3 linked regions of the Oryctolagus cuniculus genome follow. The protein of the gene in region 3 purifies or fractionates together with the protein of the main gene of each other region. This does not show direct contact. Links are inferred from orthologs where the notes say so. Each region holds a gene or a part of one and is shown on either strand. Other genes may lie near its edges.

What was found.
Region 1: the proteins of TBC1D15 (region 3) and UBAC2 purify together in Homo sapiens (affinity purification with mass spectrometry; 3 studies listed by BioGRID and IntAct, counting the BioPlex papers as one, with this or other methods). This does not show direct contact. The link is inferred for Oryctolagus cuniculus from reciprocal best matches to the Homo sapiens genes TBC1D15 and UBAC2.
Region 2: the proteins of TBC1D15 (region 3) and UBXN8 purify together in Homo sapiens (affinity purification with mass spectrometry; 3 studies listed by BioGRID and IntAct, counting the BioPlex papers as one, with this or other methods). This does not show direct contact. The link is inferred for Oryctolagus cuniculus from reciprocal best matches to the Homo sapiens genes TBC1D15 and UBXN8.

Annotation. Positions count from the first base shown.
Region 1 is NC_091440.1:13,393,861-13,398,085, forward strand, and holds the start of UBAC2 (ubiquitin-associated domain-containing protein 2), read right to left. Parts: upstream 2,863-4,225; 5' UTR 2,713-2,862; coding exon 2,682-2,712; intron 1-2,681. UniProt on the Homo sapiens protein: Restricts trafficking of FAF2 from the endoplasmic reticulum to lipid droplets.
Region 2 is NC_091433.1:80,778,201-80,781,847, reverse strand, and holds part of UBXN8 (UBX domain-containing protein 8), read right to left. Parts: intron 849-3,647; coding exon 726-848; intron 1-725. UniProt on the Homo sapiens protein: Involved in endoplasmic reticulum-associated degradation (ERAD) for misfolded lumenal proteins, possibly by tethering VCP to the endoplasmic reticulum membrane. May play a role in reproduction.
Region 3 is NC_091442.1:74,445,488-74,449,134, reverse strand, and holds part of TBC1D15 (TBC1 domain family member 15), read right to left. Parts: intron 2,853-3,647; coding exon 2,714-2,852; intron 1-2,713. UniProt on the Homo sapiens protein: Acts as a GTPase activating protein for RAB7A. Does not act on RAB4, RAB5 or RAB6.

The sequences.
Region 1 (4,225 bases), on a different chromosome or scaffold from region 3:
GCAAGTGGCCTTCAAAAGGTTCATGGAGAGTGGAATTGAAAGGTAAGTTGATTTGGTGCCAAAAAAAATTTGAAATCCCTACACACAAGGGGTCTTCAAAAAGTTCATGGGCCGGCGCCGTGGCTCACTAGGCTAATCCTCCGCCTAGCGGCGCCGGCACACCGGGTTCTAGTCCCGGTCGGGGCGCCGGATTCTGTCCCGGTTGCCCCTCTTCCAGGCCAGCCCTCTGCTGTGGCCAGGGAGTGCAGTGGAGGATGGCCCAGGTGCTTGGGCCCTGCACCCCATGGGAGACCAGGATAAGCACCTGGCTCCTGGCTCCTGCCATCGGATCAGCGCGGTGCGCCGGCCGCAGCGCGCTGGCCACGGCGGCCATTGGAGGGTGAACCAACGGCAAAGGAAGACCTTTCTCTCTCTCTCTCTCACTGTCCACTCTGCCTGTCAAAAAATTTAAAAAAAAAAAAAAAGTTCATGAAAAATGGGTACTATGAAAGAACTATACAAGGATTTCAAAAACTTTTATACTAAAATCCACTTGTCTTTTAAAAAAAATATTTATTTTATTTGAAAGTTAGAATTACAGTTCATGGCCACGATGACCAGGTGGAAGCCAGGAGCCAGGAGCTTAATGGGTCTCCCACATGGACTGCAGGGGCCCAAGCACTTGGGCCATCTTCTACTGCTTTTCTCAGGACATGAGTAGGGAGCTGGACCAGAAGTGGAGTGGCAGAGACATGAACCTGTGCCCACGAGATGCTGGTGTCTCACTGATGGCTTTACCTGCTAACGCCATTCTGCCAGCCCCCAAAATCAACTCATCTTTTAATTCCATTTTCTACCAACTTTTTGAAATATCCTCAAAGATGCCCAAAGTATTTGTTGAATAAGCACATGGCACCAGCTTCCTAAAGAAGGGCCATTCCACCTACCCTCACACTGAGGATACACTTATTTCAGAAACTGGCCAAAACAGCTGGGGAGGGCCCCGCAGCCTAAGCCTCTCTCTGGGCAGCAATTTGGTTCCTAGAACTCAACAGTCACCAAAGTAATAAAAAAAATATAAATTGTGCCACAGGTCACAAAATATTACCTTCCTCAGAATACAAGTTGCCAATACACTAATAACCAATAACAGATTTATCTTGCCTTTTCAATTGTTACATGTATTTTTGGTCACCAAGGATAGTTCAAAATGCTGAAGAACAAGAAGCCTGAAGAATTCTACCCCTTTTTCCATCCCTTTCTTGAAGCTTCAGTTCCATCCATCAACAGTCATAATGGTTTTCAGCCCAAAGGTAGTAGGGAGACTATAACCACCTAGGAGATGTAACTCATTTTGGGACCAATCCATGGAAGATGCTATGAATCAAATCCCCAACCTGAGAGGTGGGGAAGTAAACGCACGCCTGTGGCCCTGACACCAACACACTCTGGGTCGAAGACATGCGTTCCCACCTTTTTTTTTTTTTGACAGGCAGAGTGAACAGTGAGAGAGAGAGACAAAGAGAAAGGTCTTCCTTTTGCCGTTGGTTCACCCTCCAATGGCCACCGCGGCCAGCGTACCACGCTGATCTGAAGGCAGGAGCCAGGTGCTTCTCCTGGTCTCCCATGGGGTGCAGGGCCCAAGCACCTGGGCCATCCTCCACTGCACTCCCGGGCCACAGCAGAGAGCTGGCCTGCAAGAGGGGCAACCGGGACAGAATCCGGCGCCCCGACCGGGACTAGAACCCGGTGTGCTGGCGCCGCTAGGCGGAGGATTAGCCTAGTGAGCCACGGCGCCGACCCCCACCATTTTTACTACAGGACTGCGACGCTGATGGACGCCAGACAGGTGCCTGTATTCCGACAACATTCACTTCACACGTATAGAGTTAAGAAGCGCCCGCGGAGACAAGCAAACGAAACATCAGAGCTTCGCGAAGAGCTGCTCAAATACTGGCTGCCAACAGCTGGCTGTTGCTGGAGTCAGGGCACGACCTCAGGGCTGTCCGGCTAACAGATCCGCTTTACCCAAAGTCAGCTAAACACCCTGGAGTGGCTCCTTGTTTAAACGGCTAATAGGAGTTCCCTCGCCACTCTGACCAGCGCTGCCGCCCCGATGGCCACGGCGACACCAGCAGCAGAGCACGGTCTCCGGCCAAAGGCTCCCTAAACTTCTCTCCACTCGCAAGCACTTGAATCGCCCGAAAACTCCTCAGACCGGGGAGAAGCGCGTCTCCCGACTCGGGGAGGTCAGCGCCTGACGAGGGCTGCACTCTGCCTGTCGGCGGCCTCAATGAATGGGGAAAGTGACGAGAAGGGGGCAGGCTCCCAGCACCGCCTCCACCGGGACGGCCTCTTCTTTCGGCCTGGCACACGCGCTACCGGGGGCATCGGGCAGGGCCCCCGGAACACCGGGGCATCCAGCCTGACCCCAACTGCCCAGCCCGCCGCCAGCATCGCCGGGGGGGCTCACGGGCGGGGGCCGAGGCTGGCGGCGGGACTCCGAGCCCACTCGCCAGCCAGGATGGGGGCGGAGCCCGCTGCCCCCCAAGGCCACCAACTACTGAGGTACGGGCTCGGAGATGGAGGGTCGGCCCTCCCACTTCCTTCAAGCCGGAGGGGCTCGGCTGCCCCCAGCCTCCTCAAGGAAGTGCTCAGGGGGGTGTGTGGGGGCAGCCAGGACGGCGGCGGCCGGTACTCACAAAGCCCACTGGAGCCGGTGCTGGTGAACATGGTCCCGCCGGGCTCGGAGCCCCCGCGGGGGACCAGGGGGAGGGGAACCGGAGGTGGAGAGCCCCCGGCGACCGCGCAGGCGCACTCCCGGCGGGGCGGTGAATCCGGCGCCGTGATGCCACTCTAGGGGACGCCCTCCGGACTGCGCATGCGCGACTCAGGGGCGCGCCCACTCGGTCTGCGCCCTCCCTTCCTGCTGGGGAGGGGAAGTGCGTCCGCCGCGGACGGGGTTCGCGTGTGCGGAGTTTTCCGACGGCTGCGGCTGCAGTTAGGAAAGGGCTGAGATGGAGCTCAGGGGTAACCCTAGGAGCCGTACCCCTGTGCCCACCCGCGCTTCCGCACCCTGAGGAGCCGCGATGGCCGCAGATTCCTCTCGGTCCTTTAACAGTTCCTCGGACGGGACGCCCGGCGCGTCCCACGCATGCCCAGTCTTTCCGGCTAGCCCGTCTCGGGTTCCGGTGTCCAGCCAAGGGCGAGAGGTCTCTGGACGCGGACGGAAGGAGAGCTGGCCGACGCTCCCTCCATATGGGACAGCGGGCCTATCCAGCTGTCCCCTTTGTCCGGACCCACGTCGGGCCCACGCGAGTGCACGCACCAAGCCCTAACGGCCCGGGAGGCCGCCCGCGCGGGGCGAGTCCAGCGCAGAGACCCTGCCTGTTGTCAGGTTAGGTTTTCTTCCCACTGCTGACTGAAATTGCTCTTTGCTAAAGTCACTTCATCTAAAATAGGTGTGAGCCTGAAAATTTTATTATACAATCGTTTAAAAAGTTTTTTTCAAAGAATAGGGGGAAATTGTCCATAGTACACGGCTAAATGAAAGGACAGGCTGCAAAAGTGTACAGCATACTTAAACAAGAAAAAAATGAATTTATTTGTACGAGCCAATGTAAATCTGAGATTCCCTTATTAACACAGTCCCCGCACCCTTAGTAGAAGTTCCAGGGGACCGGAATAGTCACATTGATTAGATCTAGAAAGCAAAAATATAGGTGCTTTTTCTTTCCTTCTTCAGGCTTGATTTATTTATTTATTTATTTTTTTTACAGTCTTGAAATACAGCTTATATTTAACCTTAGGTTAACCAGCTCAAATCTTTTGCAACCAAACGATTGTCCTTTATGTTTGCAGAAGTTGTCCGCTGGTGAGAAAGCCTGTAGCCTACATAGGACGGGGACTCGGTGTAGGTGTGGCGATCTCTGACCCAAAAAGGGAACCCAAAGGACAAAGCTATTTTCGTGGTACTGCTAAGACAATGCTGTCCCCACCCTGCCCCGGCTCACTCATGAGTATACAGTGGAGCTTTCCATAGTACTGGTGGAAGACCTGTGTAACACTCTGAACCAGTATTTTCCACTTGACCAATGCATGAGGTTATGAATTCATGCCTGGGTAAACGATTAGTTCAAGCTGCAAGATAAACCGAGAGGTGTTAGTGAACAGAGTACAAGAAGCTCATTGATAAGGCCTCAGGGTCCTCCCTGGAAGTACTTTTTAAGATACTACCATTTGTTGG
Region 2 (3,647 bases), on a different chromosome or scaffold from region 3:
GGCTGTTACCCAATGAACAACAGAAAGGGTTTCTGCTGTTGTATGGAACTGGTTTTACTCTTGGTATAATAAATATCATTTACGTAACTGGCTCTGTCCTTCAAACATCATTTAAAGATTGGATTTTGTAATACTGCAATGTGCACAAAATGGCTCACACACAGTAACAACAAACCAGAAACCATTCCCTTTGGAATGACCCATCCTTAAGAAAATACATAAACCCTTTGAACTTTGACAGCAACATTCACTTCTACTGATAACTTCAGCTCTTTGGCAGTACATTTTTGTATTTCCTCAAATTACAAAACAAAGATTAGGGCAATAAAGCCCAGCAAAAAATTGGACGCTACTAACTTGCTATTAGACAGATCAGGCTCAGTGGTCTTAAGACACTTTCTAAACTCTGAATCCAAGAATATACATTTTTCATGACACGGGAAACTTGGATTGAGTTCTTGGCTCCTGGCTTTGGCACTGGCACAGCTCCAGTGATTGTGGGCATTTGGGGAGTTAACCAGTGGCTGGGAGCTGGCTCGCTCTCTCTCTCTGCCTCTCAAGTAATAAAAATAAACAATCATGACTAAAGTTGTAATGATTACTCCTCCTTAAAATTAAACATCACAAGTTAATGGTAAAATAGTTCTTACGAGGCAAAGTTATAGAATAAAGGAAAGAAAGTTGAGTAGAAAAATATAAAAGAATAGCATAAATAATCAACTTACCTTTCAGATAAACTTGGGAAGACTTAAATGAGTTAAGCCATGAGGTAGTCACAGAAATAATTAAAGTAAGAAGAGCAAGTGCTAAGAAAATCCGGCCACACAGCAAAAAGAGATCTTTAAGTCCTTAAAAAAAATTAATTAAAGTTAAAATTCAAAACATTTTTTGTTGATACTATGTTGATACTACTAATAATAACAATAAAAACACATTAAAAGGTTATCTTTACTAGAAAAGTAATAGACGGTATGAGCCTGGGGCCAGCATTGTGGCCCCAAGTAAAGCTGCCACCTGCAATGCCAGCATCCCATACGTATGCCAGTTTGAGTCCCAGCTGCTCCACTTTCAATACTGCTCCCTGCTAATGCACCTGCGAAAGCAGCAGCAGATGACGCATGTGCTTGGGCCCTTGCATCCAATGTGGGAGACCTGGAGGAAGCTCCCGGCTTTAGCCTGGCTCATCCTGGCTGTTGTGACTATCTGAGGAGTGAACCAGCAGACAGAAGCTCTCTTTCTCTGTCTCCCCCTCCCCGAAACTCTGCCTCTCAAATAAATTATATATATTTTTAAAGATTTTTTATTTATTTATTTATTTGACAGGTAGAGTTAAAGAGAGAGAGAGAGAGAGAGACAGAGAGAAAGGTCTTCCTTCCATTGGTTCACCCCCCAAATGGCCGCTACCGCCGGCGTGCTGCACTGATCTGAAGCCAGGAGCCAGGTGCTTCTCCTGGTCTCCCATGGGGTGCAGGGCCCAAGCACTTGGGCCATCCTCCACTGCACTCCCGGGCCTCAGCAGAGAGCTGGCCTGGAAGAGAAGCGACCAGGACCAGAACCTGGTGCCCATATGGGATGCCAATGCCGCAGGCGGAGGATCAACCAAGCAAGCCACGGCGCCGGGCCCTAAAATAAATATTTTTTAAAAAGAAGTTATTAACCGTCATGATTATTTCATGCATTCTGCTTTGGGAACTGTAATTCATCCTGGCTGTCACAAGTTTTCAGAAACCAAAATGACTTTTCAGAAAATAATTCTAGAATAAACACCTCTGTCTTAAAAATATAAGTATAATTAGAGTGGTAGGCTGCATTACAAAAATATGGCTATCTATGAAGCCTAAGTTCTAGATTCCCCTCCTGCCTAGGGAAGGCAAATGAACTACATAATTGGGAATCAGACTGTGAGAGTACCGTCTTGGTCAAATACGAATTCTACTCAAAACAGTCATTCCCACTGCAATCCCACATTCTGACTTGTCACAACTAGACATGCAAACTGTGAGCTTCTCTACTTCTCCGTATTCATCCATTCATTTGCAAATAAAATTACTCTTTGTCTGTCTAGAAAAAAAGCAAAACGTCAGTAGTTGGTTTTACAATATTTTAAGCACCAAAGTGAAAATTAAGTCAGCAAAAACTGTAATGAGCGCCTACTTTGTGGGATACAATTTGCTAAACAGCGAAGGGGACAGGGGACATAAAGCTGGGTTGCATATGACTTCTCTCCCCCAGGAGTTTTTACTATCATTTTGTTTTGTGATTTTCAAAAGTTACTTGGCAGACAGAAAGGAAGCATCACACAAATGGAATCTGCACTGATTGTTAATTAACCAAAGATGAAAGAAGTCATAAACACTTATACATACGAATTTAAAAGTTCTTTTAAACTGAAAAGATGCATCCTTAAAAAAGAAACAGCAACAGTAAGTTGTTTAGAAAAGCAATATGATTTTTTATACAATTTTTTAAATGGGTGCCATCAACTTATTATTTTTTTTTTTTTAAGATTTATTGATTTGGGGAAGGGGGAGAGAGGGAGATCTCCCATCTGCTAGTTCACTCTGCAGGTAGCTGCAACAGCCAGGGCCGGGCCAGGCTGAAACCAGGAGCCAGGAGCTTCTTCCAGTTCTCTCACAACGTGGGCCCCTCTTTTCTTGCATCACAGCTCTTCCAGCTCTCAATAGCAGTAACTACTGATTCACATGTTGTTCATTATAGATGTAATTCAATCTAGGGTATCTCTGGCCATGGCAGAAATAATTTTTTAGAAGATTTATTATTTATTTGAAAGGTAGAGTTATAGAGAGAGGGAGGGAGATTTTCCAACCAGTGGTTCACTCCCCAAATGGCCACAATGTCTGGGGCTGGGCCAGACTGAAGCCAGGAGCCAGGAGCTTTTTCCAGGTCTCCCTCATGGGTGTAGGGGACCAAGAACTTGGGCCATCCTCTGCTGCTTTCCCAGGAGCATTAGCAGGGAGCTGGATGGGAAGTGGAGCAGCTGGAACTCAAACCAAATGGGAACTCATCCCCAAATAGGATGCTGGTATTGCAGGCAGTGGCTTTACCTGATATGGCACAACACTGGCCCCACAAAAGTAATTTAATATATACATTACTGGTACAGCGATATCTCAAGAAGTTCACAGAGGAGCTGGCAACATGGTACAGTGGGTTAGGATACTACTTTGTGACACCTGCATCCGCTATCAGAGTGCCCATTAGAATCCTGGCTGCTCTGCTTCTAATCAAGCTTCCTGCTAATCCACCTGAGAGAGCAGTGGAGGGGGCCAAGTGCTTAAGACTCTGCCACCCACATGGGAGACTAGCTCCTGGCTCCTGGCTTCCACCTGGCCCAGCCCTAGCTGTTAGACCATTTGGGGAGTAAATCAGCATATGGAAGACCTCTCTCTATCACTCTGCCTTTCAAATAAATAAACAAGCAAATAAATCTGTTTTTAGCAGTTCATAGAAAATGGAATGAAAACAATGAAAGTAGCTGTTGCATTATAAGGTGTGGTTTGTAAAACAGGCGTAAACACTGTTAGCAGATACTTGGAAGCCCACCATCAAGAAATCAAAGAAAACCACCATGAGTTTACAAGAGAAGGTTCCAGGAGAAAGGTTAAGTGAAAAGTTCAGGAACTAGA
Region 3 (3,647 bases):
TAACAGAAGGGTAGAATTAAACAGTTGAGAAAGTGTCCATATATCCTGAACAGAATTAACATTACAGAAAACATTCAGATACGTTTCTAGAATATAATGGTGATCTTTATGGTTCTGAGAAGAAATTATCAAAACATTTAACTAGGTATATGAAAATAAAGGATATAACAGTAGAAACTATTATGAAAAATAAAGTGCTCTTACGAAATACAAAGTTAAATAAGTCTTTGATAGTCAATTTTTTAAGTTTGTCCCAAGTACCCTTTGTACCACACACACACAAAAAAGCACAAATTTTAAAATGGCATAAATTTGAAAATTTCAGAATGCCACAAATTTGAAACCTTTGAAATTTCTAAGCTTGAGGGTCTGATTCAGAATCAGAATTAATCCTAAACCCTCAAGTTTAGAAAATGTCTACTTAATCTCTTAACAATTACAAAATAAAGTCTATTCCCTTAAAAGTCGCTCTTGTGTGCCAAACCACATAAGCAGTATTAACACTTGTGGTTTATCTCTAAGCTTCACAACTATATGGAAGCTCTCAACTCTGACTGCGCATTAAAATCACCTAAAGACTTTCTGGGAAATACAGATACCCAGGCTCCATTTCCAGAGTCTGAATTTGGAGTTTTTTCTTTGTTTTTTAAACCTAATCTCCCCAGATGACTTCCATGGGCAGAAAAGGCAGAGAAGCATGAGTCTCAAGAAATCTTTACTGCGAGATTATGTCTTTCAAATCCATGTTATGTTTCTTTCTGCTAACAAATTTTAAAAACTCACCCCTTTCACTCATTCCTATGGCCTCTCTCATCTACAAGAATATTAAGCAACAAATAAAAAATACAATTCACATAAAACAATCCTGAATATCTAATCTAGCAAAGTCAAAAACCACCTCACAAGTCACAGACAGTAAAATCCTGTGGTTTCATCTTTCCTTGATACCTTGCATCTGGTTCTGAGAAGAAGCTACCCTTTCAGTAGAAATAGCACACACACACACACACACACACACACACAAAGGACAGGCACATGTGCAAACTCATCATTATCAAAAACTAATGAATTATTATTTACTTCTTAAATGCTAGTGTTTATTAGAAATTATAAAATACAAACTTTTGAGTATGAGAATGATTCACCAGGCCAAACATGAAAATCAATTTTACTTATAACAATTTTATCTATATAAGTAGTGGGGCCAGCACTGTAGCATAGCAGGTAAAGTTGCCACCTGCAGTATCAGCATCCCATATGGGCACCGGTTCAAGATCCGGCTGCTCCATCTCCTATCCAGCTATCTGCTATGACCTGGGAAAGCAGTAAAAATGACCCAAGTCCTTGGGCCCCTGCACCCGCATGGGAGACCCGGAAAAAGCTCCTGGCTTCAGATCAGCACAGCTCCGGCCGCCAAATGGGGAGTGAACCAACAGATGGAAGACCTCTCTCTCTCTCTGCCTCTCCTTCTCTGTGTGACTCTGACTTTCAAGTAAAATAAATAAATCTTTAAAAATAAATAAATCTTTAAAAATAAATGTAGCAATAGCTGCTCATTTTTTTGAATGAGTAAACATGGATAATTCCTAATTCAGAACAAAATTATTAAGATAGAAAATACCTTTTCGAGCCGGCGCCGCGGCTCACTAGGCTAATCCTCCGCCTTGCGGCGCCGGCACACCGGGTTCTAGTCCCAGTCGGGGCGCCGGATTCTGTCCCGGATGGCCCTTTTCCAGGCCAGCTCTCTGCTGTGGCCAGGGAGTGCAGTGGAGGATGGCCCAAGTGCTTGGGCCCTGCACCCCATGGGAGACCAGGATAAGCACCTGGCTCCTGCCATTGGATCAGCGCGGTGTGCCGGCCGCAGCGTGCTGGCCGCAGCGCGCCGGCCGCGGCAGCCATTGGAGGGTGAACCAACGGCAAAGGAAGACCTTTCTCTCTGTCTCTCTCTCACTGTCCACTCTGCCTGTCAAAATAAATAAATAAATAAATGAAAATTTAAAAAAAGATAACTACATTAGAATTTAAAAAAAAAAATACCTTTTCAAAACACAAAAGGAATAAGCAAAAAAATTAACATTTTAACTACATAAATATTCAATATTTAGAAAGAGATCCACAAATAGAATGGTTGCATCATAGAACAACTTACTAGAGCATATTTGTGGTAGTATGTGAGTTCTACATTCTATGAGCTGTATCTCTCATGTGAACTAGAATCTACAATCTTGTTAGTACTATTAGCTCAGGTCTTTACTATTAATCACACATAGATAATCACCACATAACAAATATAAATTAAAATACAGATGGAAAAGGAAATGGGCACTTAACACATATAAAGGGGAGACTGCAATGAACTTTGAAAATCCGAATAGCACAAAAATTAGAAAATAGTAATGTACTCCATCTCCCCCTGGTGCTTTAAGATGAAATAGCATGATTTTTAAAATTTTACTAGATTTAGAAAAATGAGCATGAAAGACAGCCAAAACAATTTTTAAAAGTGTTTCTATTTTCTGCCATTAATAACTACAAAATAGGAACAACAAACAAGAGATGGAAAAGGAACATAATTAAAATTTGAGAGTTATACAAATTAATCAAAGCAACAAATCATCCTTCTAACAGAGGCACAGTAAACAATTTTCTTTGCACTCTTGTTTATTAGTATATTATAGCAAATCAGTTTAAGATTTCAAGATTTAGTTCTTACCTCCATTGGTATGTGGTTTCTTTTTAAATGAAACTGTATTAATCATGTCCCACTCTGCTTCATAACTGTTCAGATATTCTGATCCTCGATGAGCTCTTTCTTTTGGGGCCTGGGTCCATTCTACAACAGAACTGGAGTCCTAAAATAATAACAAAAATATGAAATATGTAAAGTCTAAAACTGGAATTTCATTTGACTCTATAACATCTCCACCATTTCTACTAAATTAAACTTTGTGGGTTGTGGCAGACATCACTAGTAGGAAAACCAGACACTCTTTCCTATCCTTTATTCCCTTGCTCATATTTACCAAAAAAAAAAAAAAAAAAAAAAAAAAAAAAACTTACCCAGACTCCCTTTCAGTTAGGTTTGCAAAAAAAAACATGCAAAAGTCATCTGTACATCTGTAGGCTCTGGAAATGCTTTGACTTTCATAATAAAAGCTTCATCTCTTTTCCCCTTCATCCTACTTTGCCACTGTGAAATCTAAAACTATAGTAGCCATAGTGTAGCAAGGGAACTACTATAAAAGGCTCCCATCCAACAGACTCAGTAATTTGAGGAAAACAATTGTGTTCTCTCACTGGCAATCAAAAGGAGCTAAAAGCAGCATATCTAAGTATATAGTTCTACAGAACTTTCATTTTCAAAAGAAAAACCAAAAGTCTAAAATGCAGTATTAATAATTTGACTAAATCAAAACATTTGACTTCTATACAACAAAAGACATCACACATAAAGATTAGCAAGACTGCGATAAAAGGCTTTTGAAAAACAAAAGAAAAACATCCAAACCAATTCCTACCAATTTAATTAGAAATAGATTAATATCAAAACAGAAAAGCAATAGTTTGACTAGGTAAGTCTCCCTCCCCCCAAAAAACAGAAACCCATAGAAAGATGTCCAACATCAGTAACAAAGAAAAATAAAATA